Astyanax mexicanus: one gene and its partners. The protein of the gene in region 4 purifies or fractionates together with the protein of the main gene of each other region. This does not show direct contact. Links are inferred from orthologs where the notes say so. Each region holds a gene or a part of one and is shown on either strand. Other genes may lie near its edges. The genes, in order: clp1, tsen2, tsen54 and tsen15.

Evidence for each region.
Region 1: the proteins of tsen15 (region 4) and clp1 purify together in Homo sapiens (affinity purification with mass spectrometry; 4 studies listed by BioGRID and IntAct, counting the BioPlex papers as one, with this or other methods). This does not show direct contact. The link is inferred for Astyanax mexicanus from reciprocal best matches to the Homo sapiens genes TSEN15 and CLP1.
Region 2: the proteins of tsen15 (region 4) and tsen2 purify together in Homo sapiens (affinity purification with mass spectrometry; 4 studies listed by BioGRID and IntAct, counting the BioPlex papers as one, with this or other methods). This does not show direct contact. The link is inferred for Astyanax mexicanus from reciprocal best matches to the Homo sapiens genes TSEN15 and TSEN2.
Region 3: the proteins of tsen15 (region 4) and tsen54 purify together in Homo sapiens (affinity purification with mass spectrometry; 4 studies listed by BioGRID and IntAct, counting the BioPlex papers as one, with this or other methods). This does not show direct contact. The link is inferred for Astyanax mexicanus from reciprocal best matches to the Homo sapiens genes TSEN15 and TSEN54.

Annotation. Positions count from the first base shown.
Region 1 is NC_064417.1:23,193,444-23,200,889, reverse strand, and holds the start of clp1 (polyribonucleotide 5'-hydroxyl-kinase Clp1), read left to right. Parts: upstream 1-4,424; 5' UTR 4,425-4,530; intron 4,531-5,892; 5' UTR 5,893-5,894; coding exon 5,895-6,170; intron 6,171-6,199; exon of another isoform or gene 6,200-6,390; coding exon of another isoform or gene 6,391-6,435; intron 6,436-6,998; coding exon 6,999-7,106; intron 7,107-7,446. UniProt on the Homo sapiens protein: Polynucleotide kinase that can phosphorylate the 5'-hydroxyl groups of double-stranded RNA (dsRNA), single-stranded RNA (ssRNA), double-stranded DNA (dsDNA) and double-stranded DNA:RNA hybrids. dsRNA is phosphorylated more efficiently than dsDNA, and the RNA component of a DNA:RNA hybrid is phosphorylated more efficiently than the DNA component.
Region 2 is NC_064431.1:12,867,897-12,875,001, forward strand, and holds the start of tsen2 (tRNA-splicing endonuclease subunit Sen2), read right to left. Parts: upstream 3,008-7,105; 5' UTR 2,905-3,007; intron 2,680-2,904; exon of another isoform or gene 2,392-2,679; intron 2,360-2,391; exon of another isoform or gene 1,947-2,359; intron 1,829-1,946; 5' UTR 1,824-1,828; coding exon 1,632-1,823; intron 463-1,631; coding exon 396-462; intron 263-395; coding exon 223-262; intron 1-222.
Region 3 is NC_064426.1:11,616,719-11,623,627, reverse strand, and holds the start of tsen54 (tRNA-splicing endonuclease subunit Sen54), read right to left. Parts: upstream 3,010-6,909; 5' UTR 2,963-3,009; coding exon 2,901-2,962; intron 652-2,900; coding exon 493-651; intron 1-492.
Region 4 is NC_064415.1:56,947,650-56,954,531, forward strand, and holds the start of tsen15 (tRNA-splicing endonuclease subunit Sen15), read right to left. Parts: upstream 3,029-6,882; 5' UTR 2,637-3,028; coding exon 2,583-2,636; intron 1,925-2,582; coding exon 1,843-1,924; intron 1,744-1,842; coding exon 1,608-1,743; intron 1,216-1,607; coding exon 1,047-1,215; 3' UTR 1-1,046. Other genes in the region: acbd5b (acyl-CoA-binding domain-containing protein 5-B), read right to left, coding at 5,176-5,188, 5,292-5,401, 6,186-6,236, 6,625-6,818. UniProt on the Homo sapiens protein: Non-catalytic subunit of the tRNA-splicing endonuclease complex, a complex responsible for identification and cleavage of the splice sites in pre-tRNA. It cleaves pre-tRNA at the 5' and 3' splice sites to release the intron.

The DNA of each region.
Region 1 (7,446 bases), on a different chromosome or scaffold from region 4:
TTAATGGCTAAAAATTACAAACAGTAAATACTCACTTGGCCGTGATGTTCTTTGGATTCTTAAAAATAAAATGTAATACATTACCAAAATAAATTAAGAAAACTACCTACATTTTTGTGAATTTGTCTACAGCAAACGGGTTTACGCAGTAAAGGCGCTATAGCATCCCTGCTACCGTGAGCTGTCTGGCTGGTGAGCAGATGCTAAAGTTACAGCCAGAGCATGTTTAATAGGTTTATAACTGTAGTTTAAACGCTTTTTAAATTATGTCTGCGGTGCTGAAACAATTGTTGAAAAAAAAGAGCAAAATATTAAGTATGAAAATATATATACATATGATGATATATGATATATGGCATACATTCTGCACAATTACTCCGTTTGAACCCATTCATTTTGGGCTCACTCCGTAGCGCCCCCTGGTGGTCACACTAACCCAGAGGAGATGCTGAAGTGAGTATTCTCTCTATAAAAGCTCCCATCGGCTCAGTAAAGGAAAGATTCATTTTGGTGAATCGGATCATTTGTTTTTAGTACATGGTTTAGTGTTATTAGGCTCGATTGACTCGTTTACAGGAGTCGTTTAAGGACAGCAGATTCTTCCACAGTTCGCGCCAAAAACAGTTACAGCGGCGTCCTAAAATGCCTCCTCGCGCTAAAGCAGGTTAGTGATTTATTTTACAGTTAAATAAATGTCAGGGTTTATAACCGTGCAACATAGTAGATATTTATGTGAGTAGCCGAGGAGCTGTAGAGCAGTTGTCTAGTGTTAGTTAGCTTGTGTAACGTAGCTAAAGAGTGAGCAGCACGACCTGCACAGATTCATTAGATAACCTGGATTTTATAAGTCTGGCTGAACACCTTCAGTAATACAGCGGGTAGACAGGTTAGCTAGTTATCCAGCTAACATAGATGTTATGAAGGTGTGCACATTACGTTGGCCATGTTTTAGCCACTCCTGGGTCAGGATACGTGGTTTTCTTACCTTTAAACCTGTTTTAACCTTACAGCGATGCAGTGCTCAGAAGCGTTAGGCGATGTTAACTAACTTAACTAGTTAAACTAGCTAATATACTTAACCCAGCTTATATATGTATACGTATAATACTTCTCCTCTGAAAGCCACAAAGACTTTAGTGAGGTCAGGTTCTAATAGTGGAAGGTGGTAGTATGGTTAACTAGTGTTTTTATACCCACGTGAGAAAATGTTATAAGAGTGTTGATCGCCCCCTATGGTATGAAATGGTATGAAAAAATTTGGCACCCCTGATTTTCATTTATAAATCATTGGTTGTTTGGATCAGCAAATTTATTTGTGTAAAAAGGAATAATCCAGAATACCTTAAACCAGAAGCCAGACTCTCAATGGAAGCTATAGAAAGCTTTAGAGGTTGTTATTTCTGCAAAACGGGAATCTACTATATATTGATGTATTTATTTCTGGTATTTTTTATGCACTTTTCTAATTTGGTTTAATTATTTGGTATAATTATTGTACACTTTCTTCAAATTCTATTAACCTTATTTGATTTATTTTAACCTTATTTTTATTTATATTTTACTGAAACTGCTGGTCTGAACAATCAATGATTTATACAGGAAAATAATTAAAATGATCTGTTCCAGATTCTTTTTTTTTTTTAAGATGTATTTTAAGAGACGAGACAAGCTGTGGGTGCAATCTAAAGGAACTAAATACATTCAGTACTAGGGGTGTCAACAAACATTTGGGACTTATAGTATCCTTACCCACAAAACAAGAAAAACAGCCCCTCAGTACTCAGTAGTTAATTTCTGGTTATCTGTTCAATCCATATTGAACTAAATAGTCTCCAATATGTGTGTGTAGGTCGTGGGGCAAAGCGCAAGGTGGATGCTGTTGTGGAGTCGGAGCCAGAGGCAAAGAAGGATAAAACAACAGATGCCGAACAGGACGAAGGCCAAAGAGTGGTCATCGAACACTGGTCAGAATCAGTCTCTCTCTCTCTCTCTCTCTCTCTCTCTCTCTCTCTCTCTCTTTCAATGATTGTTAACAGGGTTAACCCAGATTTTGGTTGTATTAGTTTGTTACACAGTTGATATTAAATAAAAAAATGCATGTATAATTTTTTATAATTAATTAAATTATATTTAATAATATTTGGGAGGTGTGTAATGTATAGAGCTCTCTCTCAAAAGGCTTGTGTTCACATAATGGCTGCAATGTGTTTTTGCCTCTTAGTAAAAGCTGACGAGTGTATGGTCGGAATGCCGACATGGTCCGTGAGGCTCTCCTGGCTGTACATCCCGAGCTGCGTGTGGTGCTCAACCCCCAGAAGCCTCGTCGAAACAGCTTTGAGGTCACCCTAATGGAAGGAGACAAAGGTTATGGTGCAGCTATGCAGAATATAATGATGTCTAAAGTGCTGGTTTACTTTTATGCAGAGTTTAACTGGTCATGGCTAGGTGAGACCGGGATTCCAAAGGCAGGGTTAACAAACAATGCACTAGAATAGTTACACTGCAAACATGCTAAAACAGACCAAAAATTAAAGTCTCCAGTGCAAACGGCATTCCTTAGTCCCTCACAGTCTTGCCTTTTGGTATTGGATGGAGCCTTATCATTCTAGAGGACACAGTTCCACCGCCCCACAGCTTAGTGCCTGGGGTATTTATACTCCTCTATTGAGCCGCTGACCTTGTGCACTGTGCCAGTAGGTTTGTTTGTGTTTTAGAGAGTAATTTTCTATTCTATTGGCAGTATTTCTTTATAGGGACTATACATTTTTTGTGTGTTTATTTGCACATCTGTGTCAGCAATGAGTGAACTATTTTTTTGTTTGTTGCAGAGGTGGTCCTCTGGACTGGCATCAAGAAGGGTCCTCCCCGTAAACTAAAATTTCCAGATCCTGCTGAGGTTGTGACTGTGCTTGGCGATGCCCTGAAGAGCAACTAGAGATTAGTGAGGAGATGGGTATGTTGGAATATCATAAAAGTTAGCTTTTAGGTTTATTACATGCATGCACTTTCTGAAATGTTTATTTAAAAATGTGGAATATTTTTTAAGGAAGTTTTTTTAAAAAGCTTAGCAAATGTTTAATGTTTGATTTACCCTCATTTTCAGTCAATCATCTTTGGTTCTATGTATGCATAATGATGAGGATGGACCAAATGGACGACTTCCAGTCTGTTCTCTGATGTTTTTTGGCAACTAGACCCTGGATGATTGCAGCCTCCTTGTGATCTCTTGCTTAACCTCTTAACTCCAATTCTTGTTATTTAGATCTTGTGATCTATTCTCTCACTTTTTCTGTTTTTCTGTGTGGTTTTCTGTATGTTATGTCATCTAATAAAGTAGGATTTTTCAATATAGCAGGATACATTGGACCAACACTGGAAATTGTTCAGTGGGAATATACAATCCTTTTTAATGGTTTTGCGGTTTGGCCTCGCGTGCATGGCTAACTGAGTGATTCTGCTTTTGTAAAAAATAAAACCAGTCTGGATCTGTAGAGTTGAGGTTACAGATGTCTTGCCTTCTAACTGAACTGTTTTAGTCTGTTTTCTGTTCTCATTAAAAAAATAATAATAATAAAGCTTCTATATTTGTACTTGGTTTGTCTCCTTTCATGACCCATGTATGTTCCTTACAAGATATAAACATATCTAAAGATAATGTTCTTACATAATTTAATTTGCAGTAAATAATAATGCTGTTTTGTATCATTAAATGTAGTTAGAGATAAAATGTAGTTCCTAAAGCTGTAAATACTTTTGAAGATACAAATATTTTGTGTAACTAAGTATATAAAACAGGCCTGCGATTGTTTAGATGTCTGTACATTTTAATTGTTTATCATTTTTGAGGAATTAATAGAGGAGAGGAGAATACAATTCTCCACTTACTTTTTAACCCGTGTAAACTGAAGGAAAACTGGATTAGAAATGATTGAGAATTTGTTGTTTTATTATTCACACTCCATGGCATAATTAGATTTTATGGGAGTAAATATGTAATTTTTTGAAAGATTGGGAGACCCTATGGGAGTATGAAACTTATTGTTTGAATCAGATATTTTAGAGCAGGCACCCAAAACATGCTGGAGTATTCTATCTGCAAAAACACTTTAAGTAAGTATACACGCGTATAGTAAGAATATAAACGGCCTAAAATATTTCTTTACATATTCTTGCAATTTGCTGCATAAATATGCATACATTCTTGCATATTTATTACATAATTTTGTTTGTGACCCACTTGTAAGCCTTATTGTAGTGGACGTAAATATGCCTTCTTACATTAGAGAAAAAGAAAATAAACACATCGATATGTTAAAAATAAAGTATAATATGGTTAAAAAAACAAAAGTGGTTGTTTTCTGAGGGAAACAGTGTGTTATAGTGGGTGAAGAGTTTGTAAAGGAAAAAAGGGTCCTTTAAATCAGGAGCCTCGTGCGGGTGATGTCTGACGGCATCACCACGCGCCCGAGTTGCCTGGCGCTGGTGGGCTGTTTGAAGACCCCTGGACTTGTTTGGAGATTTTACTGGACAGTAAGGAGGAAATACAGCCTGAACTTTTTATTTTATATTTAAACACTTTTAGACCACATGCTTTTATATTTCAGGGAGGAGTTTAAACTCAGCCGCTGGATAAAGAGGATAAATCAGGCGGGCGGTGTATTGTTAGTTTGCTGCTGGGGCTCGGAGCTAAGCTAGCTAAAGGCTAAGATCGCTAACGAGTGAAACGCCTGTTCTATAAAACATTCATTAAGTTATATCACCTTTACACACAAACCTTAGAGAAGATTAAATCTGCAGTTTAATATTATCTGATCTTCCTCAGACGCAGGTGCTTAATAATATTAGCTAGTTAGCTTTCTAACAAACTTTAATATTACTATTTAACGTACACTTCGAGCTAGGTTAAGTTACCTAGATGCTATGTTTATGCTAGGTGGTTGCTGTGATGGGCCTGAGTGGTTACTAAAGTTTCTAGTAGTTGAAATTGAGATGTTGTTAAGTAAGCAGTCGCTACGATATGTCAGGTGTTTGTGATGGTATCCCTGGTACTTGCTGTGGTATTACAAGAGTGAATTCGTTTGGGATTGCTATGTTTATTCAAAGGGGTTGCTCTAGTCGTGCAGTGTTACCCCAGGGGTTGTTAGGCAGTTGCTAAAGTACCCCAAATGGTTGTTGTGGCACCCCATGTGGTGGGTTGGGTGAAAAAACGCAGTTTGGGACACCAAGCATGTCTTGGCCAAAGACTATATTGAGTAAATTTGCTTTTTTTGGCAAACTACTGCAGTGGTGCTTGAAAGTTTTTAAAAGAATTTTACAATTATACATATGATCTAAAACATCATCATCATCATCATCATCAGATTGTTAGACAAGTGCAACTTGTGTGCTTATTGAGATTCGGTTCATTTAATACTTAATTCCTTACCTGGAATCCTTGTTCATGGTTGTCTTGATAGTGGACGCAGAAACATTAATACTAGCCAATATGAGAGAGGCCTTCAGTTGCTTAGAGGTTACCCTGGGGTCCTTTGTGGCCCCGCTGACTATTACAAGCCTTGCTCTTGAAGTGATCTTTGTTAATTAACCACTCCTGAAGAGGGTAACAATTACTGAATTACCTTCATTTGTACACAATCTGTCAAAACTCTTTTTCTGAGGTCCTCAGAAATCCTTCACACATTCCACAAAAATGTGTTGGGAACACTTTGATAGATCCCTGTTCTTGAAATTGAACTGAGTGCCATTCTGATTGTCATTCTATTGATTAAAAACACTTGACTCTAATTTCCTCCATATTCATGCATTCAGTAAAAAAAATATGTATGGTCGGATAGTGTGCATTTTTGGAAAAAGCCGTGGATGGTTTATTTTCCATCACCTCTTTCCTTGCAGACATGAGTACAGAGGTCTCTGAAAAACCTGGTGAGGAAGGAGGGAGTACTGGAGGAGGCACTGGGATTGTAGGGACACGTTATGACTTAGAGAAGGAGACTGAGCTGCGCTTTGAAGTGGAGTCTGGAGAGCGGGTCCAGCTAGAACTCCTGACTGGCATGGGCGAAGTGTTCGGCTCTGAACTGAACAGAAATAAGAGGTACACGTTCGGCCCAGGCTCTAAGATCGCTGTGTTCACCTGGCAGGGCTGCAGCCTCTCACTCTCAGGAAAAACAGAGGTAAGGATCATGAGTACTGCACACCCGTTACTGACACTGACAACTTTAAATGCCAATTTCAGTTTGACACAGGATTATGACTTTGTGTCAAACTTGTTATCACTGTTGTGATGTTAAATAACCAAAATGCAACATTAGCCAAACATCAAATTTGTCATAGTTTCTGAATATGTGACTTTGATTTTCAAATAAATTAAGTGATTTTACAGTGTTTGGTTTTATGTTACTATCTGTGTGTGCCTACAGAGCTGTATTCTTTCTTGTGGTAAGCCTAGGGACATGTGTGAATCAGAACTGCAGAAGAGGGGGTTGTATACACTCCATAAATTTGACATAGAGTGTATTGGGACTGTTTTTGATCATTTAGGGACTGTAAGTTCTGAAGTTTGTAGAGTATCTTATATGCTTTGTTCCTACATGAATTGTTCATTATGTCAGCTCCACTGACCATTCAGAAAGTGGTGTTATTGTTATGTTTAATCGGTGTAGTGATATCCTTATTACATTTTTATGAATAGTTACCCCACCATACTGAACCTTATAGTAGTCTCATTCTTTTTGAATATCACTGTCCTGTGAAGCAGCAACCCATATTTTACACACCCCATTTTGCAAATTAAGGCAGTAGTTACTTTAAACAGGTGGGGTTATTGTAGTTGGATCCAAAATTGGAATTTGGAAGGTATCTCTCCAAGCAGCAGGGTTGAAGACCACTTACTTAAGCAATAGAGCCATGAAGAGGATAATCAAGCATAGAGAAAGGAAGTTCTCTGGAAATTTGTTTAAAATAAAATTATTAAAATTAGTAATATGTCTTTTTGTCTGTAGGTGGCATATATCTCTAAAGACACACCAATGTTGTTGTATCTGAACACACACGCTGCACTGGAGCAAATGAGACGACAAGCTGAGAGAGACAATGAGCGGGGTCCAAGGGTATGTCACTCCATTCACACATTTACAGCTCCAATCACAAAGCAGGTAGACTGGCCTAAATCTGATCTTTCTAGACAGACAAGACATATTTCTTAAATGTGAGCCAAGATGACTGGCAAACAACACACTGTATCTGGCATTTTCAGTTGCAGTTAAGGCAACTTTTAATATGGTGCATATCCAATACACAGTAATGCAACTCTGAACAGCCAGATAAGAATTTAGCTTGAATTTAATTAAAAATACACGCTGAGCAGAGGACAAAATGGATTGCTAGTAGCCCAGATATTGCATTCAGGTATTCCTATGCAGCAGAATACCTAATTTGTTTAGACTAACG
Region 2 (7,105 bases), on a different chromosome or scaffold from region 4:
GCAGACATAATATAATATGCATCTGTTAGATAATACATAATACCTATTTTTCCTTCCTAACATCTATCAACAAAAAAGTATTGTGAAATAATCTGGTAGAAGGCAGAATAACAAATTTTCATTTTTAATTATTTTTTATTATTTTTCATAATTGCTGCCTTGAAGATATTTATAATTTACAGACAGCAAAACAATCACAATTATGAAGTGCCAACTACTTACCTTGACAAGGGGATAACAGGTAAACATTCATTGCCTATGTCTAGATATAAACAGAAGAAAATAATGTGTTTTTTAGTGTATTGTATTTTAATTGCCAGTTAAAACTTACAACATTTTCATTGTAAACATGTAAAGATGAAATTAGCGAAATACAAATTCAAATCAATACTCACATTCCCACCGTTCTGAAATACTGTGCTCTGGTCTGCTTTTTGACAGAACTCCTTTACCAAAATAACCCTAGAAAAAAATTTATAAAATATGAAGTAAAAAATCTAAATACAACTAAAGCTGTCCATACACTACATGACTTTGAAAAGACTCTGAAAAGACTGAAGTCTGACACCCTCTCACATCTAAAGACTTGTCACAGACTTTTTACTCACAGAATAGTCACAGGCTAAGATTTTGCAAAGACTGAGGATCACTAACTGCAAGACTACAACTATATTCTTTCTGAGATTATTTACCATCATGCTTCAGGTGGAGTTTACATACAATACATATTACATATTAAATTACAAATAATTAAATTACAGTCAATAATGCGATTTATCAGAGACTCACAAAATGTGTCCCCATCAACAGTTAATTTTTTCTGCCACACTGTTTGTTCTTGATATTACTTAATAGAATACATTTTGTGTTCAGCTCTGATTATAAACTTCTTTTCCCCCCTTTTTGCTACATTTGTGTACAGCAAATAATCAAAGCTTTGCTGCTATACATTTGCCTTTGTTTTAAATAGAATTATTGCAATAAGGACATCATTCTTGCAAAATGTGTATTTATTAAAAATAACACAGCACAATAAGACAGAGTAGTGCAAAATAAAATAACTACAAATATAATAACTTTAAAGTGCAACCTGTGTTTAAAAAATTATACATATTAAAGTAAGAACCATATAAGGCATATTAACTGCCAAATCTGTTCTTTTTTAAATAGTTTGTATGTGAACAGTTACGTGAAATATATTCTTGCCTCTTCCCGTAGCTCCCTCTCCTATTGGTTGCTGACATTGTTCACGTCACTATTTGCGTGAGCTGAGTCTCAAGACTTGAGATAATATTAAACACGGTTGATTTTATCTGAGCGCCAGGACGCAAACCTGACTGACTAAAACTTTCAGTCATAACCACCTTATACTAAACGATCCGAATGATGCGACCGCGACTCGACTGTAGCCCGACTCTAGCCAGACTCTAGTGATTTTATCCCGACTCTGGAAATCTGTCTGCGAGAGAGAAATCGCTTAAAAATCGTTAGGTGTAAGGTCGGCATAATGCTCTATTTAAAACATTAAAATTAAATTTAGTATACTTTACTAAAACCTAAAAAGCTGAACATCCAAAGGTTTGCTTGAATAAACAGCAACAATAAAAAGGGTACATATTGTTAAAACTTACCTTTCCATACAGTGATTGAATGTGGTCAGCTTCTCGTACTATAACGTGCTGGTTTATGATCTCGGCTTTGCATATGAGGGCCCCCTGAAGTGAGGAAGTGCCTTGGACTGAGGTAAAAGGAACGGGCAGTGGGCTCTCAAATGATTCGTAAACTTTTGGTCTCCGTTTTGGAGCCTGGAACACCGCTTCCATATCTGCTGAAATGTATATAAAGAGAACATATAAGAACTGTAGGATTACAAAGTGCTGGTGTGGTCAAAAAGACTTATTCTGTAAACATTTCACTAATAAAAAGAAATATATATTTTTCTAGACCTCATTTTTGCAACCCTGTCCCAAGTTCTTACTCCTTAGCAGGGCTGGTTGTAGAGGGGGGCCCCCCAAGTTTTTTTTTTGCCCCTTTCCCATGATCTTTCTACTACAGACAGATTGTGTTTGTCCAGTATTATTAATTTTACTTTAATACTGGATATATACAGATATTTGAAGTGTATTATTAGTATCATGACATTCTGGATCATTGACTTCTGCTACAAATCTGATAAAATTGTATTTTGTAATATCTCAGTTAATGGTGTGCCATATCATATCATAGGCAATAATAATACTTAATTTTCATTTTGTTGCAGTAGTATATTCTTGAATTTTTTTATTCAGTTTTTTTTTTCATATCGCCAAGAGAATCACTATCGTGAAAATACCATGATATACCGTGATATTATGTTAGAGCCATATCGCTCACCCCTAGTTAGCTATCTACCTGTTCTAACTGATGCTCTGGTGGAGATGTATTTTAGCAAATCATCAGATAAATCTTCCCAGAAGAGTAACTTTAGGCTCTAACTGCAGAAAATCAATACAAACAAAGCTCAGAAGAAACATTAAGATGTCAATACAGATTTTTGTAGATATTAAGTGATTTCTAAAGTAAGAAGAAACACCCTAAATTCTAGTAAACAATGGCTTAACGCCTCAGAAAAACAAGATTAGAGACGCTGCTACGCTAGCTGGTTGGTAACCCTGGAGACAGACAGGCAGTTAGCTTAGCACGCTGATCATCTGCTGTAACTGACGTTAGCTTTCCCTGAACGAGCGGTTAGCAAGTTGGATAAACGGCAAAAACAGATACTGGGGTGAGTGAAAATGACAATTCTTTGAAATCATTGTGAACATTTTATACAGATTTCTCACAGAAATATAAAAAACAAAACTTTAAATCCACACATTTAGTTCCATTCATGTATTTAGCTTACGCTGTGCTATGCTAACTAACCTGCAGTTCCGGTGCCACAGTGAAACACGTCCACCGAGTTCACAGCTACTAGTATTTGGTTCCTGTCCGTTTTGAAGCAGTTGTTTTATTTCTGTTTGTTTTTGCCATTTAAGATGTTCAGGTGACGTGAAATACATAAAATAGTAACCTAGAAAAGTTAGCAGTAAACTATCAGGCCTTTTAAAGAAAAAATTGTATTAAATAAAAAAATGTATAATGTAAAAAGGAAAAAGCTATGGAAATTGTTTAGCCTGTAGTCTTTAGTCAAGCATTATTGGAACAAATTGTGTTTCTGCACTCTCTACTGCAGCATTTACACACTGCACATTTACACTTTCATCATAGAAACTACAAAAAGACACAGCAACACAGAGAACCCTGTAACTATTAAAAGTCTTTTCTTTAAAGAAAATAGCTACAGATTACGAAAGAAAGCGGTGAGTACTGTTTCATACACATTCAAAAGACCTTCAGAAACTGGAGAAAACTGCTACAGGAAGATGTCGGGCTGATCCACATGGCAACATCTTTAGCTTAGCTTAACATTGGACTCTATCTTACACCCTGTGCAAAGCGTGTTGCAATGCTTATTGCTATCTTCCACTCCATCAACAGTCTATTTTCACGCCTTGTGTTTGCATTTTTTAAGAAGCAAAGACGCTTACAAATATATCTACACAGATGGGCATGGCAGTCTGGAAGTCAGGTGTGTTCAGGTATTGCTATCTTGACAATAAAAAAAACAGGTGCATCACTGACTGACAAGAACCCTAACAACAGTTAACTGTCAGATGTGCATTGTTATCTTGGCAACTCAGGCACAATGCACGCTTAATGTGCATACACCCCCGCTCCACATACACACACACAAAACATGCAGCACTCACAAACCCAACTTTTCCATTAACAATTAGCAAATAAAATAACATTTCCGTAAATTACCTGCTTGCACACTTTCACAATGTTACTAAGCAGGACAGTTTCCTCTGCTGAGATGCAAAGAAGCAGTGAATGTTAAAATGCCAATCCACCAAAGTCAGAGCACACCGATATATGACAGTTTTATACAGTTATATAATATTCATATAACATATAAGATTTTGCTAACTATTTGTTTGTTTATAAGGGTGTTTCTACATTTAATTACAAATAAAATAGGACAACAGCCAGAATGCTAGAAGGACAGTTGACTGGTTATTCCATTCATGATACTACCAAAAGCTAGAATATCAGTACCCATGTCCCTATAATTTAAACAAATAATTTAACAGCTTCTTTATTGGCATTAGATCCTGGATATATTAATGAATACTTCCAAAAATATAAAACAATATTATTGTGTGTAAATACAAAGTTAAATATGTATTTAATAGAATAAATTAATTTAATAGAATATAATAGAATAAAATATTGCTAATAAATGTTTAAGGCTCAAACATTCCTGCTGTATATGTACAGTATAATCCATTGAACTTAGCAGATTCCCCACTAAATCAAACCATGCTGTGATTTCAGACAAGTTGAAAGTCTGAGGTGTGTCCCCTAAAATACAAAGAAAAAACCCTGACATAAAAATCTCTGATTCCAAGAAACTGTCAAGCATTTCTGGTTTTCACTGGGTTCATACTATCACTCTTTGTCAGAGTTGGTTCCTAGTTTCAGGCACCTTCTTCCAGTAAAATATTGATGAATTTGTACTTTTCGAGTGTTTTTTAAGACGCTAAAACTTATACTACTGCTCCAGTGTATCCGTATGAAGTCTACTTTTTCATCCGCTCAATTAAATTGATAGATGTCACTGTTGCTTAGCTAAAATTGGATTTTGATGGTAATCAGTGTGCTGCTTTGAGCTCTTAAAATATTTCACATTTTAGATCAGCCACTAGGGGGTAATCTTAACCAGCATGTTGCCCATTGAATAAATGGGCCTTGAGGTAGGCATCATGTTAGGCATCCTGCCAGCTTGTATATTAAATACAGCACAGTTAAAGGAACGTTAATGTGTCTGAGAATAAGTCAAAAAGAGACAAAATATGTAGATGCATAATTCTAGAATGGTTGGCTTATATTTGCTGCTAAGGTGATAAGATACATTTGCACCTTCCTAAAGCGGAGTATAGGCAAAGAAAATATATTTTAAAAACAATATGATTGTCATTTATATAAGAAAGAATGAACGTAAATGTAAAAATCTACTTCTGATATAATATCTATTTCACAGCTTTATAAATGACCATCATAAAAATAAATAGCAAAAGTTAACTACAGTTAATTTTAGTTTGATCAGCAGCCAAATGACGAATTTGGCCATGAACGCAGATGACACAGTGAAATCCAGCCAGTGTTGGTGAACTTTTACAAAGCCAAAAAACATGATACCATTTGAGCAATCGGTGACCTGATTCTTCACTGGTTGCACCTGAGAGGACAGAGTTCTTGTAGACAACAAAAGCTAAAAAAAGGGTTCTCAGAACTGAATGTGGGTGGAAAATGAGACTGGCTGGGAGAGTTAAACTGGCTTATTCAGCTTGCATGCAGTTCATGGTTGATGATTTGTCCACCACAAAAAAGTTCTCACTGTGAGGAATGTACACCCTTTTCTATCTTTACTTGTTAAAAATTTAAAAATGTATGCAAAGTACACATGCATCATAGAATAGGTATGTGTTTATATAGCATATAGTTTTTATATGGGATTTTACAGTAGAATACATAATATGTTTATATATATAAATGTATAAAAAACATATATATATATATAAAAAACAACCTAACTTAAATAAATGGGAGATATGTAATAATATTACTTAAAGAATAATTTCCTCATAATTTCCAATTGTGTTCTGTTAGTAAGAAGAACCCATAAACCTGAATGAGTGTTTTTATTTTATTTGTGTTTTATTTATTTTGAATATTTAACATTTCTATATGTAAAAAAAATAGTGTCTGATTATTCTTTGATATATATATATATATATATATATATATATATATATATATATATATATATATATATATATATCAAAGAATAATCAGACACTATTTTTTTACATATAGAACAAATAGTGTCTGATTATTCTTTATATTATATATATATATATATATATATATATATATATATATATATATATATATATATATATATATATATATATATATATATTAAATGGTATATAAAATTATAATAATAATATTTCACATCTGTGTTTGTGTGGTTTCTTGTGCCAAATGTTTAGCAAATTGTGTTGTAGAAACATTGTAATTAAAAGAATTGCATGATGCCTTTATTTCACAATGGCTATTTTTTGTAGCCATTTCGCGCAGCCCTAATAACAAACCACAGGTATGTCAACAAAAACTTCCAGACATTAGATTAATATAATTACACCCATTTAAAGAGCAAGATACTTTAATTATTAGGACCATTTATATCGAAATATACTATAAATAAATAATTTAAACATAAATACAATAACTGTTTTTACACAAAATCAACACACCAACTCATTCACATTACTAGGCTCTTTTTTTTCAAGAAAAACAAGAATGTCCAATATTGAGATCAAAAATTATTAAGGTAAAATGTTTGGATTGGATAACAAGTTAATAATATAGTTATTGAAAGAGGCCTTATAAGCTCAAAACTATGAGAAGACTATGAGAGAACTAAAAATGCTGCAGGTAATTAGCAGTTCTCATGAACATACTCGTCAGATGTTTGATACTACATTTATTTCTGTGGTCTCTTTTATAAGCATGTTCAGTTTAGTGTGAAACCACTGTGGTTTGTTACAATCAGTTATGGACAAAGTAGATACAAAAGTAGAGGCTTCTAAACATCAGTCTATTTATAATGCTGTATTTTTATGAAAAAAGTGCATTTCCTGCAAAACTAAAGAACGGAACTCAGAGCTACCAGTTCTATAGTTCAGCTCAGTCAAATCAGCAACCGCAGAGACAAAGAGTACAGTACATCTACTAACAACATCACTTTCTGTGCAATTCACTTTCTAAGTAATTTACTTTATATTCTACATCTCTTATAATAGATATACTTAACAACTGCATGTAAACAGCATCATATACAAATCTTCATTTACACTAATCAGCCATAACATTAAAACCACGCGCCTTGTATTCTGTAAGACTGGTTTTAATGGTATGGCTTATATAGAGTGTAAAATGGGAAATAATTGAGTAT
Region 3 (6,909 bases), on a different chromosome or scaffold from region 4:
AGGGTCCTAGTCTGCAGTTTAGGTAGCACAGGTTCTTTGTACGACTGTACCATGAAGACTCCTTCCCTGTAGCCTGTTGGTCACACCTACGTAACAGTCTAACAAAGCTTTGCAGGGACATGTGTAGATTCTAGACTGAGGTGTGTAAGATCTGAAATCTTCAGGATGGTAGACCACCAGGAATGAGCACCCCGGTCGAGCGCATCAAAGTTGAATTAAAAAAGGGAAAAGGGCTCCACCTACTGGCCACCAACAGGGATACCTCTGGTAAAAGAATTGTGCTCTCTCTCTCTCTCTGGTGCAAAGGCTCTTTATTTAAACACAAATGTGTCAAAAAGAAGGAAAAGGTAACTGACTGTAGGAAGAAGCCTCTGAACAAAGGTATTTACAGAATCACCTAACACATATGTACCGAGGGCCAAAGCAATGTAGTTCTGAGAAACACTTCCTTAGAAATGTTGTTGTTGATAATTGGGTTTGGCAGTGACTCACAGTCTCTCCACACGTTCCTCTGCCACCAGAGTCCAGTGCTCCTGAAGACTCTTCTGAAGGTGTGTCTTCTGCTGCTCAGAGCCAGTGGGCAAGAACTCCTTCTGCCCTCTCACAGGAATCTTATGACTTCGTGACCGAGCATGAAACAGCTCTGATGGGCTTTGGGTAAAAAGACAGAAAAAGGCAGAACATACTGAAGAAATATGTGAAGAGGAGAAGAAATACTGTAGCTAAACAAGCTGCCTGCAAAACATTAAGACAGGATCTTCCTGTACAACAACTTCCAGTCATTCACAAACTAGTTCCTCAGAAACCTGATGGAAAAGAACATTGTATAGAATTTATAATTTAGGTTGCACTACATGTTGGTGATGGTAAAGAACCTTTGTTTAACACCGCCTCACAGGCATTGTTGGTTGATTTTAAAATTCTGATATTGGCCTGACATTCATTTAAAGGCATTTGAAGGGTTGGGGCTCTTCTACTCTCACAATGCTTTTAGGAGTATGATGAACTAATCATTATAATACTTATTATTATTATTATTATTATTATTACTATTATAATTCACTTTCTCTCACAATGCTGTGCTAATGAGGGATGACGTTCCATCTCCTAAAATACCTAGCTAACATTACATATAAGCAATGTTTTGAATTAGCCATGTCTATAGTGTAATATATCAGTAAATGCTTGGGTAATTGGGAGAAAAATGTAGTACTCTACAAACTCTCTAGCAGAAAGTTATTACACCAAATTAATTATGAATAAACTGTTGATTCTAAGATACCTGCTTTACCATATTTGAGAATATTTTGGGTCTGAAAGCAGTTTTTGTTCAAGAAATAGTTCTCAAAGACATAGTATTTGTTCAAGCCATCCACATGTATGCAGATATTTTATAAACTGTTCAGGCTGCAGTGCTATAAGCACAAGTTTCACTGATTACAGCAGCTTATCTTTACTGTTAGAAAAGTCAGGCTGTGCTGATTTGTTTTTTTTTTTTGCTGAAATCGGAAGAAGTGGGTTTTAAAGCCTAGTTTTAGAAGTGTTCACAGGTGTAAAATTTTGTGCTGTAAATAAGATAATATCTGTAATAGTCAGGTAATGTTACAAGTCTGGATGCAGCAGAAATAGCAGTTTAGCTTGTTGTAATTAGGTTGTATTCAACAGTGATGTTAACAGAGGACAATGAACTATCCTTACTGAGCTCATCTGAATACAAGTAATATATAAATATTTAATATTAGTAATTTAAATAAAGCAAAACAATAAAAACACAACGTTAAATCATTAGAGATACAAACGTGTCATATCTAGGGAAATTCCTCTGAGTTACAGTGTGCTGGATGGATATGAAACCTGCTCCATATATTGCTTTTATAGATCACTACACCGGCCAGAAGAAGGTGTGACAACGTGTCTTATACTGAGCGGATCTTCTAGCTGTGTTAGCTAGGTTGGGTCAGTTAGTTGTGGAATCAGCTGTGCTAGATGTGTCTGAAACGCATGAAATGCTGACTTGATTCCTTGTTGCTGTTCTGACAATTCACTGTTAGATACAGTTCTGTAAAAAACAATCACTTAAAAATGATGAGTTTCTTAGATTTTACCAAATTGAAAACCTCTGGAATATAATCAAGAAGAAGATGGATGATCACAAGCCATCAAACCAAGCTGAACTGCTTGAATTTTTGCACCAAGACATAAAGATATCTAAAAGCAGTGTGTAAGACTGTTGGAGGAGAACATGCCAAGATGCATTAAAACAGTGTTTTAAAATCAGTTATTCCACCAAATATTAATTTATGAACTCTAACTATAAATAACCCTAACCCTAACTATAAATATGAACTTGTTTTCTTTGCATTATTTGAGGTCTGAAAGCTCGGCATCTTTCTGTTATTTCAGCTATTTCTCATTTTCTGTAAATAAATGCTCTAAATGAAAATATTTCTATTTGGAATTTGGGAGAAATGCTGTCCGTAGTTTATAGAATAAAACAGCAATGTTCACTTTACTTAAACATATTTAAATAGCAAACTCACAGAAACGGAAGTAACGTTAGTCTCAATTTTTTTCCAGTGCTGTATCAGTGTTTATCTGTGTTCTCATTAGCTGTTAGCATTTACACAGGGCTGGAGTGGGAATGTTGGACTCAGGCATGTCGGTGTGCCTGTTCTCAGGATCCGGCCTCAGTAGGCAGCATGTTTTATTGTTCAGACGCATCAGAAAGTTTGCTGTTAGCGCTCAGACGGCAGCTCAGCCCACACATGCTCCACAGACACAAGTCTACAGCACTAGCCCTGCTAATGTGTGGCTACAAACTCTGAATTTAGACTAACCAACTAACGGGACAGAGCGGATACCTATCGGAATCTCAGAAAGCTGTAATCCCTCGCGTTTACCTTAATAACTCCTCACTGCGTTCCGCGCGTGCAGCTTCCGCGTGAGCTTGTTTCGTGGCCATGTTTACAGCTGGTCTGTGAGCGCTGGGTCCTAGTGCCGGAAGGGTTAGGGGTGTAGTGCAGCAACTGCTCCTCTAGGGGCAGCATGGTACTGTGCTGAATATAAAATATAAAATATTATACAAAACATAAAACATACTGAATGGGAAGAGGTGTGTCCATACTTTTGACAGTGAACGCTGCATTAGAGATCAGTGTTTTTGGTGCCAATTTCGATCGCTGATCATCTTTCATCTCGAGGCAAACATGGTACATATTCCCCTAATTACATCCACGCCCAAGATAACACTGGTAATTTACTCTGATAATAAATAAACAGAAGAGTTTTACTGACCAAAATAAACACTTTTCAGGAGAGATATAAGTTTGTGTAAATATTTATAAGACAACAATTTATATTTTTATATGCCAATCACCAGAGTCAGCATACTTCTTAAAATAGCTCATATTTACTGTTAATATATAACTAATAATATATTATTTTAATAGGAGCAACAGTAATCTAACACTCCAGCTAGAGCTTAGAATGGGCTAAAAATTTAGCCTGACTCTGTCTGCCCACATAACCTGTTATAACAAGCGCTGACCTGATTTAAACTTAGCATTTTTAGTAATTAACATTACAGCAATAAACCAGAGCTTTTAACTAAATTTCCAAATACTTGGAATGAGCGAATATGTTTTAGAAATCTGTTAATCCTACTGTTGTTAGCTGCTGCTGTTAGCTTGTGAGCTAACTAACCCTGTTAATTCTGCTGTTGTTAGCTGCTGCTGTTAGCTTGTGAGCTAACTAACCCTGTTAATCCTGCTGTTGTTAGCTGCTGCTGTTAGCTTGTGAGCTAACTAACGCCGTTATTCCTGCTGTTGTTAGCTGCTGCTGTTAGCTTGTGAGCTAACTAACGCTGTTATTCCTGCTGCTGTTAGCTTGTGAGCTAACTAACACCGTTATTCCTGCTGTTGTTAGCTGCTGCTGTTAGCTTGTGAGCTAACTAACGCCGTTATTCCTGCTGTTGTTAGCTGCTGCTGTTAGCTTGTGAGCTAACTAACGCCGTTATTCCTGCTGTTGTTAGCTTGTGAGCTAACTAACGCCGTTATTCCTGCTGTTGTTAGCTTGTGAGCTAACTAACTCCGTTAATCCTGCTGTTGTTAGCTGCTGCGTGTTGTGTGTATTTATGTGTATATATTTTATATAAGTGAATTCATTCATAAACATATTTGGAGTCACACAACAATGACAAAAAAAACTCAAGGATTTTAATATTTGAATTGCATGGTAAAGTTTATAGTTAAGAGAGTGAAGACAGATAACATGCAATTTTAAATATAAATATACATATATATTGTGTGTGTATATGTGTATTGTGTGTATTTATGTGTATATACGTCAATATATATATATATATATATATATATATATATATATATATATATATATATATATATAATTAATTTATAAACCTTATTAATATGCTATACCATATATCTGTCTTTGTTAAAGAGCATAATATAAAGTATTTCAGCATGAAAGCAGGTATTTGTAATGTGTGACAGCTTCCTGTATCATAACTACATCTCTGCTGTTTGAAACAAACCAAACCGTGTGAAAATGGTAGAGTTGTGATTATTATTGGTGTATTTTACTCCTTCCTCAGTGTAAATTAATGCACTCGGGGCGCAGGGTTGCCTCCTCCAATATGGCTACGGCCATGCAGACACGTCAGCTCCAATAGGTGAAGATGTATGTACATTTTCACGTAGCCCCTTTCCTAACAAATAAACCACATATCTGAAGTGGGGGGTGGGGGCGTTGTTGCTCACCAACGCGTGTTTCAGAACTTTTGAATAGGACAGTTCTTCGCCTGACACTCTGGCTGAAACTCCACCCTCTTTGACTAGGTCTGCCTAACAACAGAGCGATCTATATTCTAATTGGCTCAACGAGAGTACATTATAATTTACAGCTGATGGATTGGCAAGCGTGAGAAATACCATGTGTGGCGTGTGAGCGTGTAAACTCGCTGAGGTGCGTGTGTCACACGCTCAAAGCATGAGACTTGAGAACACTGCCGATACACAGCCGATCGATTGTTCCATCTCTAGACTGCAGGTTTAGCGTGTAAAGAGCATGGAGATGCAGAGACAGCATTTGTTCATAGCAGTGTATTTTCTGACTAATATATCAGATTAAACTGAGCCAGTTTAGCTCAGTTATAAAGTAATATATTTGATAGCTCAGATGGGTCTGATCGTTACCAGATCGTTACCAGATCGTTCTCACCACAAGCAAACCACTCTAGAAAAAATATCTGCGCATTGGGCGGGGCAGATTACAGTTGAAATTAGGGTCAAACTTGATGGCGTAATTAATTTTCGTTAACAAAATAATTACTCATTAATCCATCCAAATGAATCGTGTACGCTAATGTAACCTTGACAGCCCTGTAGGCAACAAAGCCCGGCAGTCTATTATGGAGTTTTTACCTTTGTACAGTTCATTACCCACAACAGATGCTGTTTGTTGTCTGCCATCAGTTTGATGTAGGAATAAATTTAATTTTCTCTGCAAGAAATATCCTTTTCTAAAATATTTTATGAAGTCAGATGAAGCAAGCAAGTTTCCCAAGTTGAGAACAGAGAAACATTTAATGTGACCCACCCATAATACTCTGTTCATCATTATCATTTTGGATATGTTTACTGTACTGTACTATAACTTTATACTGTGTGTAAAATCTGAACAATTGATATTTTACATCAGGAGGCTGTAGAACACACCTTAAATCTGAAGGCTAACGCTTGAGGTTTAGAAACGCCTAATGTACCACTAAAAATTTAAAAAAGGTGGTGCTGAACTTAATAATACTAGTTGAGTATGTTCAAACTGGGTGGACCATTGCTGTCACTGTCTCATCTATTTACATTGTTGGTTTCTGAGAGACACCAAAGTGGAAGATGACACCAGAGCCCATTACACATCCAGTAAGCACCATGTGAATGTGTAAATGGCCTTTGTTTTAAAAGCTTTTGACTGCACTTCAAGGCAATTGATGAAGTGTTCTGTAAGGTGTTATTAGGGGTGTCAGGTGGACAGTGGACGGTGACGTGTGTGGCCACTGTGCTCAGGCTCTCCTTTGTTTGGCCACAAAACAAGACCAACTGACCCCAGAGGTGAGGGATGCATATCAAATGAAAGAGTACCTCACAAACCAAAACATGGACACACACCACAAGGAAGGGAGCAGTCACTCCTTCCACGGCTCCCCCGCCACCCCCCACCTCCTGACAGAAAGTCAACAATGCAGCCACATTTCCAGTAAGCCAGATAGCTTCCCAAGACCTCCTCATCACCATAGAAACAAACGCCTCAAGCTGACAGTGAGGCCACCCATGCACCAAAAATGCAACATGTTCTGGCTTTACTTCACCACCTTTTGAGTTTTTACCCCAAAAGCTGAGACTTGTGTCTGTTTTTCCTTCGTAAAAAAAAACATTAAACAGAAGACAGGGGAAAAAAACTGTTAGGTAATAATACAGTTGTACTTTGGTGGATCATTATCCGAATATTGGTAATTGGGTCTTATAACTTTAAAAAAATGATTTAAACATTTGACATTCTTTTGACAATTTATTATATTTATAAGACTGCAGATAAATATTCTTTCCCAGCTTAATGACTTTATTTTCACTTTTATTTCACTTCATTCATGCATTCACCGTGTCATGGTATGCCCCCCTAAATGGCAGCAATTTACATTTTTTAGGAATTGCTATTTAATAACAATGTGGTTGACCTAGAATTACAATTATGACCTTGATTCTCTAAAATAAGTTTAAATACAGTGAACAGCTTGAGCTTCACCTCAAATATTAGGTGAAATTACTATTATAAATTCCTGAAAATGAAGCATTGTGTTTTTTTCTGCCACATGTTACTATGGCTGTTTTCTTT
Region 4 (6,882 bases):
TTAATTTAATCAGTAATCTGATTAAAATTTGTCTTGGGAAGATATTGATGAATGGAGCCTTATGTCTTTTATATATGATATATACTAGTGCATCTAAAAAATTAAGACTATCATTGAAAAGTTTATATTTACTTTATTTTAGCAATTCAGTTCAAAATGTGAAACGTAATTTGAAATATTATATAGATGTATTACACAAAGAGTAATCAATTTTGGTTTAAAAAGACATGTCATCTGCTGGTGTTGATCCACTGTGTTATATCAAGTTCAAAATCAGAGCTGACAACTTTTATGAAGATGCAGATTTCATTTTCCAGCAGGATTTGGCACACTGCCCACACTGCTAAAAGTACCAATTGGTCTAATAGAATATTCTACTTTTCTAAAACACTGATTTTTGGGGTTTTCATTGGTTCTAAGCCATAATCATCAACAATAAAATAAACAAACAATTATAACGCTATATGAGTTTCACATTTTGAACTGAATTACTGAAACAAAGTAACTTTTCAATTATATTTAATTTTTTTGAGATGCACTAGTGTATATATAATTTATTGTTTATTTTGAGTCCAAAATGTAGGACTGTCCAAAGGAAATGTCTGTCAAATGTTATCCCATTACACAGGCTATAGCACGCCCAGTTCACCTAACCTAGGAGGACACACACAAAGAAACACTAAACTCCTTCAGAGACTAGAGTGAGGATTGTATTTACAACCACAAGCCACTGAAGGTACCTGTGCCACACCCCATCTGGATAGGAGCCATTAATATTATGAAAAATAATAAAGGTCAAAGAGAACTGCACACTTCTTAACCGTGCAAGCACTTTTGATCTTTTTTATAATACTGTCATTACAGAAAGGTGAGTATATTCTGACCCCATCATGCAGCCTTATTGCCCACCAATGAAAAGCTGCCTTCAAATACAGCCATCAGATAAATTATAAAAAGCTAAATCTGAGACAGTGGGCTGAACACTGCCCCTCAACTTCAGTCAGAATCTTCCACAATGTTATGTCCATTACATGGTCATGTAATGGTCATGTTTGGAGTCTTCTCTTGCGGTGCTGTCTCCGGCCCTGGTCCTGAATGTCCACCGGAGGGTCCGGGGTTAGCAGGCCGTCACACAGCCGCTGGTACACCAGGGTGGAGTCTGAGGCCACTGCACACAACAGCATTGGGCTTCCTCGGTCCAGGATACACCTCAAACTGAGAACAGATTTAATCAAAATGTGCCACATACAATATATAGAGTCATACATGGTGTAGGCAGAGAAATGCCTTGATAATAATGTCTGCTCACATGAAAAAAATAGATACAGACAAACAAACTCTGGATAGGAAACCAGAATCCCTGGAAAGCGAATCGGTTCTGATACATCAGCTCACAGACGCAGCATTGTGCTAATCCACATCACCCTCAGCGTGATTAGAGGAGAGAGCGCCATCTACTGTTCCCACCCAGAGCAAGACCAACTGTGCTCTCTCAGGGCTCCAGCAGCTGATGGCCGTAAGCTGCATGACCAAGATTCAACCCAGCAATCTCTTGCTTTAGACCCTTGAAAAGTATTACAGTAGTGACGCAAACCTTGTCCACTTACTCTTTGTGGCTGACGGTTCTGTGTGAGGGAAGTGGATAAACCACCTGTACCGGTTCACCTTCCTTCTCACGGCCTTCCAGCAGAACCGCCTGCAGCTCAGAGCTCGCGACTCCCACCACGTCCTTCCAGCGACGAACTGCAACAGAGTTCAGCCATGACAAGACATCCTGATTAACATCCAACATGCACTGAACATATCGTCACAGTACTGGAGAACACTAGAGTTTTCTCTTACCTTCTGTTAAGTCCAGATAAACCAGGAATGCTGCATAGACCTGAGCGCTGTCACCAACATCCAGATTCATCAGGTCTTGGTACTAAAGAGAATAAGCACATTTTAGACCATAGATACTCAAATCATGTCATTGAATAAAGACTCAAAGATGTTTTTGGAGGTCCTACAATTTAATCAGTGTAATGTAAACTGCATGAAAAAAAAAATGTCATTTAGAACATTTATTTGCAGAAAATGAGAAATGGCTGAAATAATGCAAAGGAAACAAGTTCATATTTATAAAGGTTAAGAGTTCAGAAATCAATATTTGGTGGAATAACCCTGTTTTTTAATCACAGTTTTCATATTTTCATGCATCTTGGCATCGTGTTCTCCTCCACCAGTCTTACACACTGCTTTTGGATAACTTTATGCTGCTTTACTCCTGGTGCAAAAATTCAAGCAGTTCAGTTTGGTGGTTTGATGGCTTGTGAGCATCCATCTTCCTCTTGATTATATTCCAGAGGTTTTCAATTTGATAAAATCAAAAAACTCATAATTTTGTTGCTGATCCAAAAAACAAAGATTTATAAAGAAAAATCATGAAAATTATCAGGGGTGCCCAAACCTTTTTATACTACTGTATATTGGTTGGAATGAAGAACAGGCAGCTTAAAGTAACTAAACGTCTCTAAAAATACAGAAACAATATAATATAGCTAGAAAAGATACTTAACTAGGTTAAAAACACCGAAACTCACTGCTGGGTGCTGTTTAATCCAGCTCGAATCAGCCGCTCTGCTTTCTTCCTCCATGCTCCCATTCAGAACGAGGGCGCGTCCCAAATCGCGTACCTGCGTTTAAGTAGACTAACTACTGTTGTGTATTAATTACCGAACCGGTAATTAATACATAAAGCTGAATATCTAAACGATAAACTAAAGTTATCTAGCTACTTGAAAGCAGACTGGAGTGCACCCGGTAACGCCAACATGTAACACTTGCCACTTCGCCACTGGAAAACACGGGCTTCTAAAATGTTAAGTGCGCACTATCTAGACTCTTTAAACCACATATGGAACGCGCCCCAACGTGCTGTTGTTGCGCTTCTCCCAAACCCTACCGGAAAAAAAAACACGCTGTTGAACAAGAGGTTCCGCATTAAAGGAAATCAATCGCTCAAACAATGTATATTAATCCGTGTATCATTCGTTCATTTGATATTCAATTGAGAATCAAAATCGGAAAATTAAAAAACCAATTCGTTTTTTCGTTTTTTCGTTTTTGAATATAATACCAAAAAACGAATAACGGCTTGTATTTTGTATTTTTATTTGGTTATCCAAACAAAAATTGGAAATTTAAAAAACGGACCAGGAGCCGAATTTGATTTTGATTTTGAACTTGACCCATTTGTGTGCCCCGGAAGTTACTGATTTGTTTATTCTTGGTGGGTTTCTGTTGCGCGGGAGTTCACTGCAGTGTTATCTACACAGTCTGTATTGCTGTAGGCAGCATGGCCGGACTGGAACCACATTCTGGCCTAATTAAAGATCTTTTTGAAGGTGGTAAGACGCATGAAGAGATTTCGTGCACGTTGCAGCAAATGGGGATCCAGCGATGTTCTGCAATGAGTGTTAGAAGGTTCTGTGTTCAACACGACCTTAAGCGAAAAAGACATGTATCGAACACAGAATTGGAGAGGGCCGTTGAGGATGGAGAGTTTTATCTTGTTCAGAGGAACTAAACGCGTTGCAGTGAAAGAAGACGATATGACAACAGAAAAAATCGGCAGGATCTTTCAGGTGTTTGTCTAACGTTCCGTAGCTAAATGTCATATTTAGTAGGCGGCAATTCACAGAATAACATTAACTAAATATGACATTTAGCTACGGAACGTTAGACAAACACCTGAAAGATCCTGCCGATTTTTTCTGTTGTCATATCGTCTTCTTTCACTGCAACGCGTTTAGTTCCTATGAACAAGATAAAACTCTCCATCCTCAACTCAATCCAAAGCCTACAGCAATACAGACTGTGTAGATAACACTGCAGTGAACTCCCGCGCAACAGAAACCCACCAAGAATAAACAAATCAGTAACTTCCGGGGCACACAAATGGGTCAAGTTCAAAATCAAAATCAAATTCGGCTCCTGGTCCGTTTTTTAAATTTCCAATTTTTGTTTGGATAACCAAATAAAAATACAAAATACAAGCCGTTATTCGTTTTTTGGTATTATATTCAAAAACGAAAAAACGAAAAAACGAATTGGTTTTTTAATTTTCCGATTTTGATTCTCAATTGAATATCAAATGAACGAATGATACACGGATTTATATTGGTATGTACTAATTACTTTATTTCAGTAATTCAGTTCAAAATGTGAAACTCAAATATTATATAGATGTATTACACACAGATTGATCTATTTTAAGCGTTTATTTCTTTTATTCAGTATTTTTAAATCAGTATTTCAGAAAATTAGAATATTATATAAGACCAACTGGTACTTTTGGCAGTGTGGGCAGTGTGCCAAATCCTGCTGGAAAATGAAATCCGCAAGCTGAGCCTCTCCACTCTTCCTCCTGACTCTGGTTTAAAATTTACTGATGGTCTGTGATGGTTTGGAGAGACATGTCAACAATGTTTTCCTTAACAGGTCAAAAATGTAGAAAAAAAAAACAATGCAAGGTGTGAAGTTTAATTGCACCAAATATTTATTTCATTACCAAAAAAAAAACCTCACAAATATTTATTCAGGATAAAGTAATTTTACTGCAACATAAATAAAGTGCTTAGAAATAAATTTAGATATATTTCTAACTATGCAGATTTTAAACACAATATATCATCTGCACTTAATAATACATAACATAAATAAACATATTAATAAATGTACAAAGAATAAACTTTACTGCTTATAATAAAATATTATAAGATTCTTATCTGGGCAGTGAGTGTTTATTTATAATAGAATATAATACAATTAATCCATATATACATTTGTTTTATAATATATATAACATATATAACATCTCCAAAACTCAACTCATGAGTGTATTCGCTGTGGTTATCCTCCACTCACTAAACCAACACTTGGTTTAATAAATCAGTGTTTTAGGGTTTATCAGTATACAGGTGATGGAACTGAACCAAGCTTTGTTCTTTAAACGAACTCTAGTTCTTAGCCACTTTATTAAAATGAGAATTATTGTTATTTTTAACTTATTTATGCTAATCTGTATATGTATCTTTAATACATTTTTACACTGTAATATTATAAATACTGTAGAAAGAGGCTGATTGTCACTGAGGGCTCCACCTGAATTCGGATACGTTCACAGCATCGTCTTCATTTTATCCTCCTGAAAACCAGAAATACAGCCTGGGTGAGCAGAACATCACTGAACCTCAAACACAAAATAAGAGCTTTAATCACTGCTGATTAAATACTGATGAAATACTGACCTCCTCTTCCTCTGAAGATAAATCTGCACCAGCCAGTTCACAGCAAAAGGCCAGATAAGAGCCAGAGCTACAGTTACAGGAGACGTGTCCTGAGGCCACCAGGGAAATCGCTGGCAAATTACGCAGATTAAAGAGAAAAGATTATATAATTAATTTAAAATATAGTTTCTAAGAATCTAAGAATTGATGTGTTATATTTACCTAAACTTCAAACATCTATCTATCAAACTTCTAAACCTAAACAAACCTCTACTCTACAAACACCAAGAATAAAACATCTACATCTTAAACACAAATACATTTAATGTCCAATTTCCCAACATATAAACCTCAGACAACTAACTGGAAAACATCTAAAATTTCGACATGTTGTAAACAGAGTGGTGTGGCTGTGAGCAGTGAACGCTGCACAGACTGCGCTCTTAGTGTGTAAACAGTATGGAGCAGCAGAGACAGTGTTTGTTCATAGCAGTATGTTATCTGGCTAATATATCAGATTAAACTGCACCTTATCAGCAGTTTAGCTCAATTAAAAAGAAGTGTATTTGATAGCTGTGTTGGCTGGGGCAGATTACAGCGAAATTGGGGTTAAACTTGGTGGTATGATTAATTGCATAACAAAAATGAAAACGTGTTTCTGATTCTTTAGTGATTCTTTTACTGATTCATTGTTTAACGTTGACAGCCCTAATAAATATATAAACCTTACATATCTAAACTTCAAAAACTTTTAAATGTTAAATACATTTATAACTTTAATTATCTAACTTACAAACATACAGTTTAGAACCAACTAAAACAAACCAATTAAACATCTTTATGATTCTCTTTAGTGATTTTATTAATATAATTAAATGTACTATTGTATATTTGACAGCTGTATTGTAAGCCTACCTTTTTTACTGAAGCTGAATGAGGGTCTTGTTCAGGAGGAAAAGCTTCATCCTGAGAAGAAAATACAGTACAGCAGGTTAACCTGAATTTCTTTTGGTTAAAAATTAAACATCGAAATCACACTGTGAAAAATCTGAAGAATTGGTTTGATGCCTCTGTAACAAAAATATAGATTGTGATAATATCTGATGGCAAGAAATATCAACTTTATGACCAGATCTTATAATGTATAGATATACTGTAGTTTTCTATCGTTTTAATTTTCCAAATATTGGTCTTGAACACTGAGAAAATAGTATGAAATAGTAATATTAGTCTTTATCATTTTTTAAGTGTAAAATGAAATAAAGACTAGTAGAATGTAACACTATTATAAAAACCACATAAACATGAATATTAAAGATTATTGATCTAAAGATGCAAAGCTTTTCTGACTCACCTGAGCTGCAGTCAGAGCTTCTAGTGTGTTCAGTCTCTGCAGCACGTTCTGCATGTCATCCTGTAGCCGTGATAATGCTGAGGTGATCTGTGTGTTCACACGGTGTTTGGTTTTCTCTACACACTGCGGGACTTCATGACCTTTCAGTGTTTTCCCAACAGCATCTACGATTTGAGATCCACCTAAATGATGTTCTGAAACAATCGCAAATCATGAACTTCATTTTATGAGCTATAAATTGCAACGTCCACAACCTGG